Cricetulus griseus: one gene and its partner. The protein of the gene in region 2 purifies or fractionates together with the protein of the main gene of each other region. This does not show direct contact. Links are inferred from orthologs where the notes say so. Each region holds a gene or a part of one and is shown on either strand. Other genes may lie near its edges. The genes, in order: Cdc37 and Amhr2.

Evidence for each region.
Region 1: the proteins of Amhr2 (region 2) and Cdc37 purify together in Homo sapiens (co-immunoprecipitation; 3 studies listed by BioGRID and IntAct, with this or other methods). This does not show direct contact. The link is inferred for Cricetulus griseus from reciprocal best matches to the Homo sapiens genes AMHR2 and CDC37.

The regions. Positions count from the first base shown.
Region 1 is NC_048597.1:134,006,790-134,011,098, forward strand, and holds the start of Cdc37 (hsp90 co-chaperone Cdc37), read right to left. Parts: upstream 3,029-4,309; 5' UTR 2,917-3,028; coding exon 2,815-2,916; intron 1-2,814. UniProt on the Homo sapiens protein: Co-chaperone that binds to numerous kinases and promotes their interaction with the Hsp90 complex, resulting in stabilization and promotion of their activity. Inhibits HSP90AA1 ATPase activity.
Region 2 is NC_048595.1:398,821,421-398,826,024, reverse strand, and holds the start of Amhr2 (anti-Muellerian hormone type-2 receptor), read right to left. Parts: upstream 2,830-4,604; coding exon 2,781-2,829; exon of another isoform or gene 2,488-2,780; coding exon 2,305-2,487; intron 2,088-2,304; coding exon 1,896-2,087; intron 1,649-1,895; coding exon 1,577-1,648; intron 1,375-1,576; coding exon 1,262-1,374; intron 1,148-1,261; coding exon 917-1,147; intron 1-916. UniProt on the Homo sapiens protein: On ligand binding, forms a receptor complex consisting of two type II and two type I transmembrane serine/threonine kinases.

The DNA of each region.
Region 1 (4,309 bases), on a different chromosome or scaffold from region 2:
CCAGAGCCTGCCTATCCTCCCACATGCTGGGGCAGAAGGCCCCACTTCCCTCCTCAGTATTACAGCCACAGCAGCAAGACAGGAAGCAGGCTCTGTACTAGTAGAGGGGAGGCCTTCCTCCCACCCAGCAGGCCCCAACTGTTTTCCACAAAGTAGGAAGATGAACCTCTTCATAAAACTATTCCTGAGAAGAGTTCACCAACCACAAGGGGGTCTTCAGTGCTGGCAGCTTGCCTGGCAGGCAGTCATCCTAGGAAACTGGAAGGAATGGGTGTGTGAATTGGGTGGAGGACAGACACTAATTTGGGGGAGACAGGGAGGACCTTCTAGGAGCTTCCAGATAAATGAGCAGGAGCTGCCCTCAGGAAGATGGGGTGCAAAATTCCTAACCAGAAAGTACCTGCCCTAAGCTTGAGAGTATAACAAACTCAGGGTCCAATGAGAGGGCTCGGTGGGTAAAGGTCTGCCACCAAGCCTGAAAACCTGAGTTTGATCCCCAGAACCCACATGGCAGGAGAAAACAGATTCCACCAAGTTATCCTCCGTGGACTACACATGTACATTTACACATACAGGAGTGTATACACAAATGAATAAAATACAATTTAAGCACAGGGTATAGCACACAGGTAGGTGGATATAGATGCTGTGATTTGGGAGAGCAGGTTAGACCCTTGTCTCTTTACTGTTGTGCTATGGATGGAGCCCAGGACCTCCTGCATGCCACACAAGAGCTCTATCACTAAACCACATCTCCAGACCACCCTTAGATCTTGGTAGTACACTACTGTCCCGTGGTCAATGCCGGGCAGAAGAGGGGTGGAAAACCATGGCTCAAACACACGGGATTCTAAGGTCTGAATCTGGGGGACTCTGTTCTGGACAGATGTAAAAAAATGTGTAGGATTTTATTTTATTTGCTTGGGTGTTGACAGGATCCCATGTGGTCCATGCCAGCCTCAAGCTTACTATGTGGCTGAAGGCTTTGAACTTCTGACTTTCCTGTTCCCATCTCCACAGTGCTGGGACTACAGGCCTGTCCCACCATGGCTAGCTTTTAAGCACTGCTGGAGACACAGTGCAAGGCAATGACACACAACTGAGCACCAGCCTATTTGGTTTTTGAGACAGTGTTTCATGTAGTTCAAGCTGGCCTAGAATTTAACATGTAGCAAGGATTGACTGAATTTCTCATCCTCCTACTTCTACCTCCCAAGACCTGAGTTTAAAGGTATGTGGCATCATGCTCAGGAAGTAAGGTGATGTTGGGATAAGATCCAGGAGATTCCCCCAGTTAAGTAGGATGATTTGAACACTGCAGAGAAGCCAAGGAGGCTGCAGGGGAAAGGGTGGGAAGGATAGAATAGGTTTGGGGTTCTGAGCTCAGGTTTGGTGAGTTTCTTTCTTTCTGTTTTTTGTTTGTTTGTTTTTCAAGTCAGGGTTTCTCTGTGTAGTCCTGGCTGTCCTGGAATTCTCTCTGTAAACAAGGCTGACCTGGAACTCACAGGCCTGCCTGTGCCTCCCTAGTGCTGGGATTAAAGGCGTGTACCACCACTGCCCGGCTCCTATTTTGGTGAGTATTCAATGATGGCCAAAGTTCATACAGGAGCCAGGGACAGGATGGGGGTCTACTTACTATAAAGGAGCAGGCAGAGGTTCTGGACGGAAGTTAAGTGGGTAGGGTTTCCTGGAATAAGGGGAAAAGCGTCTACAGGAGGCAAGAGTAAGGGAAGCCACAGGGCAGCAGTGGAGCTGGAGGCCACATGGAGAGAAGTCCTAGGTGGGACTGAAGTCCCCAGTGGGATTCTGGTCTGTACTCCAGGGAAAGGGACCCTGGGTTGTGGAATCCCAGCGGAAAGCTAAGATCGGGAAATTAAGTGTAAGACACAGTTCTCATTCAGTTTGGGAGTTGGGGGCAGGGTATCTCTGGGCCTTAATGTAAATTTGTGCTTAAGATCCTGGGAAGTAGATGCCCCAATCAAATCAAAAGTATCGTGGACCCAGACTCCAGGGGCTGAGAAGAGGCAGAAGGGAGGTGTTCAATCAGCAGTGGGCACATGGCTAGAACAAGGGAGAGCCTAACAGAATCTGAGTTCTGGACTCCGAGAAAGAATTCTGAGGAGAAAAAAAGGTTCCATACAGGATGATGGGGACCCCTACTCACAAGGGCCGGCGTTTGGAGAGTCTAGACTCTGATGAAAGTATTAGGAGTTGATAAGAAGATTCAGTGTGTATAGGAGGTGCTTGTGGCAAATTGGGGTGACCTAAGTTCCATGCCCAGTTCCAACGTGGTGAAAGGAGAGGCCTGACTTCTGTTAACTGTCCTTTAATCTACAGATACAAGCTGTGCCACGAGCACACAAGACACACCACTACAAGTAAACTAACAAACAAATGTACAAATAAAATAAAAGAGATAGCAGCGGGGAAAGCCCAGAGATGACCGTGGAGAGTTAGGAAGCCCAGTGATCCTGAAGTCCTGGGATGGAATTTAACAGTCCAGGCCACATGACGGTATACACCTTTAATCCCAGCACTGGGAAGGCAGAGGCAGGCGGATCTCTGTGAGTTAGTGGCCAGCCTGGTCTACATAGCAAGTTCCAGGCCAGGCAAGGCTATAGTGAGATCCTGGTTCGATTTTTTTTAAAAAATAAGAGAGACAGAAAGTTCAGATTGTGGAATAGGAGGCTCCCGATGTCAATAACTGAGTTTCCCCCGACCCGCCCGAACCAGGGCGGCCAGGGTAAGAGGTCAGAACTCTAGAGCGGGGGGTCCCGGGAGTGGGGGGAAGGGGATGCGCGCGCACAGCCCCACCTGGTGCCGCCAGCGGAAGAGGCTGGCCGTGTCGATGTTGGGGTGCGTCTCGTCCTCATCGTCCGACACCTCGATGTGATCCCAAACGCTGTAGTCCACCATCTTCGCCTAGGAGGCCCGGATTGGCTCCCGGCGCTCCACACGGCCGGGCGCTGAACAGGGACCCACAAGGGATAGAGAGTCCGCTCGCGGAGCCCCGCCCCTTCCGCTTCCGCTCACGGCGCCGCGCACGACGGCCCCGCCCCAGCATCCGCGCGTGACGTCACGTCCTTAGCAACGGGACTCGGCGGCACTGACGACCGGAGGTGATTCTTAAAGGGCCAGGCTCACGTTGTTCAGCCTTCTGGGAGTTCCCGCCGAAACCCAACCGAGCATCCCCTGGGGACAAAAAAGGTAGTTGCCTAGGGGTTGTCGGCCCACGGTAGTCCCAGCACTTGGAAAGCAAAGTCAGGCCACTCTCAGCGAGTTCTAGGCAGGCCTGATCGACACAGTTCCAGGCCAGCCAGGGCTCCGCAGTGAGATTCTGTCTCAAAAAAATCAAAATTGAGCCGGGCGTTGGTGGCGCACGCCTTTAATCCCAGCACTCGGGAGACAGAAGCAGGCGGATCTCTGTGAGTTTGAGGCCAGCCTGGTCTACAAGAGCGAGTGCCAGGACAGGCTCCAAAGCCACAGAGAAACTCTGTCTCGAAAAACCAAAAAGAAACGCCTTATATCCCAACACTCAGGAGGCAGAGGCAGGTCTATAAATCGAGTGCCAGGACTGTTACACAGAGAAACCCTGTATTGAAAAACAAAACAAACAGAAAAGAGTGAAATTTTGCGGTTTTTTTTAGGGGTGGGGTGGGAGTTGAGACAGGGTTTCAACAGCTGCAACAGCTCTGGCTGTTCTGTAACTAGCTCTGTAGTCCAGGCTGGCCTGGAATGAGTTGAGATCCACCTGCCTCTGCCCCCACCAGTACTGGGATTAAAGGCGAGCACCACCAGTGCCCGACAGATTTTTACTTTTCTTAAGATTTATTTACTTACTTATTGTGTTTACAACATTCTGCCTGCTTGTATGCCTGCACAGCAGAAGAGAGCACCAGATCTCATTACAGATGGTTGTGAGCCACCATGTGGTTGCTGGGAATTGAACTCAGGACCTCTGGAAGAGTAGTTAGTGTTCTTAACCTCTGAGCCATCTCTCCAGCCCCGATTTTTACTCTTAAAAAAAATTTTTTTTTTCAAGACAGGGTCTCACTATGTAGCCCTGGCTGTCCTCGAACTCACTATGTAGACTGAGCTGGCCTTGAACTCACAGATCTCCTTGCTTCTGCCTCCCAATGCTGGTATTGAAATCATGCTCCACTACACTGGGTCTGCCCTTAAAATTTATTTTTTTAAATTACATTTCAGGGGCTGAAGAGATGGCTTAGCAGTTAAGAGCATTGGCTGCTGTTCCAGATGACACAGGTTCAATTTCCAACACCCACATAGCAGTCCATAACTGTCTGTA
Region 2 (4,604 bases):
GTAGTCCTGGCTGTCCTGGAACTCACTCTGTAGACCAGACTGGTCTCAAACTCACAGAGATCCATCTGCCTCTTATACACATAATTTTTTGAAATTTATTATTATAGAAAGGGGGAGTCTTTGGGAGCACATGCTATAGTGCGTGTGTGGGGGTCAGAGAACAACTTTGTGCAGTTCTCTCTTTCTATTTTTGCTTGGGTTCTGGGGACTGAACTCAGATCCCCAAGGCTTGCACAGCAAGCATCATAGCTGAGCCATCTCACCATCCCTCAGGGCAAATCTTTCTGTTTGTTTTTCGAGACAGCGTTTCTCTGTAGCTTTGGAGGCTGTCCTGGAATTCACTCTGTAGACCAGGCTGGTCTCGAACTCACAGAGATCCTTCTGACTCTGCCTCCCGAGTGCTGGGATTAAAGGCATGTGCCGTTACCACCTGGCTTTTTTTTTTTTTTAAGAAGTTTATATTTATTTTTATTGGTGTTTTGCCTGCATGTATGTCTGTGTAAGGGTGTAAGAAATCCTGGAACTGGAGTAACAGACAGGTGTGAGCTGCCACATGGATTCTGGGAATTGAACCCAGGTCCTCTGGAAGAGCAGACAGTGCTCTTAACCACTGAGCCATCTCTCCAGCCTGCCATATTGTTTATAAATATTGGTTAAATAAACACATGAATGAGTTGGACAGCTGTGGTTGGATATTATTTATCCAGTGGCTCATATTTAACAGTGGCTCATTTCTAGCTGGGCAGTGGTGGCACACAGGACAGGCTCCAAAGCAATATAGAGAAACCCTGTCTCGAAAAACAAAACAACAAACAACAAAAAACCCAACAGTGTCCTAAGGAAGGCACGAAGCACCTCACTTCCATGAGCACAAAAATAGGCATAGTGCACATTACCGACATTTCTTGGTGCTCACCTTAGGGTACAGTTCCAGTACCAGTAAAGGCCCAGAGGGCAGGGGGCCAGGACCCCCCTGGCCAGCAGTGATAAAGCGTACAATGTGGTTGTGCTGTAGGCCTGGCAACTGGTACACAGCTCTCTCAGCTCGGAACTGGGCCACAGCCCTTGGGGGGAAGGCCTTGATGGCTACCATCTCACCCTGTAGCCTCCCGGCCCACACGACTGCGTGACCTCCTTCTTGGATTACCTGGTGGAAACACTGCACTGAGTGCGGACCTCTGAGCTAGCATCAGAACCAGGCTTCCTCCCCAGCAGAACCTCCAAGAGTACCAGAGAAACCCACCCTCCTTTTATGAAGCACCTGGGAGAAGCACAGCTCATTCAGCTCTGGCAATTCCTCACTGCAGTCTCCGCCTGAGACTGGCTCCGGGTCTGACCCACCGTTCACTGCACAGGTCTTTCGTTGTAGCAGGGCTGAAGCAGAGAAGAGCCTTAGGGTAGGGTGCACAGGATGGAGGCAGCCAAGGAGGCTATGTGGGAAGAGAGCTTCATACAATGAAATGGGTTACAGAGATCCCAAAACTGGTGGTGGGGGGCGTCTGCAGAGCCTGAAGAAGGCTTGGAGCTTTGGGGAAGAGCCTTGCTATCACAAGGGAGGGGTGGGAGAGATTAGTACCCAAGATGATGCTGCCCAGTAGCAGCACGAGGAACATTCCCAGCAGCAGCAGTGCCATCCAGATGGGCCCACCTGGACAGCAAGGCAAGAAGACACGTGGGTGAGCACTGAACCTCTCCCCTCTTCAAAGAGATTGCTTTCCAAACCACCCCCATGCTGGTCACAAGCCCCCTTATCTCCCAGTCGCCAGGGCAACCAACTTCCCAAGGCCAGGAGGAGGGAAACTTTGGGTGGGAGTGGGCTGAGAACTGGCCCTGGTTCTCATCCTGACCTATGCTCCTACCCTTTCTGAGCTTAGTACCCTAGGGAAGGCAACTACCTGTGGTAGGCTGGGGATCCTGGGGGCCAGGCGCCCCTTGGTTCCCTGAAGGAGGCAGATGGCTGTAATTGGCATTGCAGAAGTCACTGCCACAAGAACATGTGAGGAGAGTGGAGATGGGGCTTGGGTGGGCTCGGGGGACTGGGTCACAGTGGAGGGACTCACAGCCTGGCTCATCACTGTCTCGGCATCCTGGTGGGATGGGATTGGGGGACGGAGGAAAAGGAGAGAGAGTACAATGATGTTGGGAGGCAGAAAGCACATCCCTTCTCTATCAAAGGCATCCCTCCGACATGCTTTTCTCCCATCTACACACTCCGCTTCTCCCTTTCCTCTTGGCTGCCTCCCTCAACTTGGACATGCCTCTCCTCTACCCTAGCTCTCACCCACCATATATTTTGCCATTCACCTTGCATCTCCACACGTGCCCGTCCATGGGTCAGGTTCCAGATGCCAAAGCAGCAATGGCTGTAGAGGCAGCGGATACTCTTAGGGGGTCCTGGTCTTTCATCTAGCACTTCCCCCAGTGTCTTTGCGCTTCCTCGTACTCCAGGAGCCTCAAAGAACACACAGGTCCTACTGTTTGGGGTTACTGAAATCAAAGGTGAAGAAAGGGGAGTCAAGAAGGGAGTAAAGTCAGGGGACAAACAGCAGCCAAAAGGATAAACAAAATAGGAGCCCAGGGTCAGGATGGCAGAGGCACAAGGAAACAGTCAGCAGAGGCCTGAGGCCTGATCCCCCATGGGAACAAGTGGCTCTGCCCTTCATCTTTACTCACCCAGCCCACTGACCTCTTCCTCTTCCAAAGGGGTAGCTGCTGCTTCAAGTATACCTTTCCCCTTATTGGATTGTGTTAAGACCCTGCCTGTATCTGTAGACACTTACCTTGTGCAACTGCAGGAAGCAATGTCCAAAGCCCCAGTGTCCCCAGCATCCTGCTAAAGGATGGCAGCTGGACAGCACAAACCAGCACAGCTACTCCATCCAAGGATTCCTACTGATACAGGGCACTGTAGGGCTTCCAAACTCCGCCCCCCTCTGTCCTATCCCAGTTTCTGTGGGGGAGAAGGCAGCTGTGGGGGAGAAAACAGGGAGAGAAAGGGAGGAGCAGAGAACCAATCTCATATCCTTTCTTCAACCACCTCCTCTTTTCTCTGTAGAGTGGGAGGAAGGGACCTTGGCTGCCTGGCTGAGAACCCTGTGATAACTTCAAAATCTCTACTCATCACTGACCTTGGGAGAAGGTGCTGGACCTTCAGCCTTTCCCAGGAAGATGTCAAATGTTTGGAGCCACTCAGTTCTGCCCAAGACCCTTCCTAACCCACTATTGAGAGACTGGATACGTAGCATTCTGAATAGAAGAAGACTCACAGTCCATATTACAGTAGTTCTCACTTTCCAAACTCGAATCAGAATGAATATGAAAATTTTCAGATCTAAAAAAAAAAAAAAATAGGCAGGAGGCAGAGGCTTTCACAGAGAAACCCTGTCTCAAAAATCAAAACAACAACAAAATCACACTGTAGGACTGGTGAGATGGTGCAATGGGTCAAAAGTACTAGACACTCTTTTATATATATATATATATTTTTTTTTTTCCTGAAAACAAACTTGTTTATACAGACAAGTCATGAGGGCCATCCCGGGAAGCTCCCGCAGTAGTCGAGGATCAATGTACTCTGGGGCTGGATCTGCCCAGGACAAATGCAACTACGGCCCAGGTGGTGATGATGCTGCAGACTTTTAACAGGCAGGTGATGTTGGAGGAATGTTTCCAGTAGCAGTATAGGGAGACCTGCAGGGTTGGGTGGCTCCTGTACTCCTTCAAGACACTACAGGCATCCTTAAACTTATTGGTCAGGAGCAGAAACTGGTTTGGGGTGAACCGCCTGACATCCAACCTGCAAAGATATTGGAACTCACAGTAGACCTGATGCTCGGTGACCCCAGGCCCTCTTGACGGTGAGGATGAGTGCAGGAGGCCAGATACTGGGGTAATCTGGGCCAGAAAGATTAATTTTAGGAACCCCAGCTCTGATAAGATTCACTTGGTTCACATAGTGCTCCAGCACATCCAGGTATGTGAGGTGAGCTCGTCCACAGAACCATCACCATGCACCCTCTCCAGGAGCAAGTGTGCTACTTTCAAGAGAACTGACCCGCAGAGGAAGGCATTGTATCCGGCTTCATGGGGGCACTTGGTCTCAGCATATTTCTCACACTCGCTTGCATGGATAATCTCTGGTCCAGAATTGTTAGTGGCATTCAAGTCACTGCTCAGCACATCATACACTTACTTCTGAGAGGTTGGAGGCTTGTAGGAAATGCATTTCCTTCCAGATGTCTTCTGTCACATTCTTGGTGTCGATGATGACAGGAAATAGGCTGTGGATGTTCTGCTTAAACTCATCGTAGCTTTCTGGAAGAGGTTTGAAGAACTTCTCAAGGAGATGCAGTAGGTCCATCATCATATTGTGTCCTACCAGAGACTTCTGGGCTCTCACCAACATCTTGATAAAGCCCGAAAAGCCCCTTGCAGAGAGCAGAATCTCCTCCCTCCAACACCTGATTTGATCACAAGAGTCATTCTCAAGGTACCAGCGATGAGGCTGACTGACCTTCTTCACAACCACCCCTTCATTTTTCCGCACTGTTCAGATGTCGGGGAGGGCCTGCCTCAGGACCATTTGGACTTCATAGGCTTGGAAC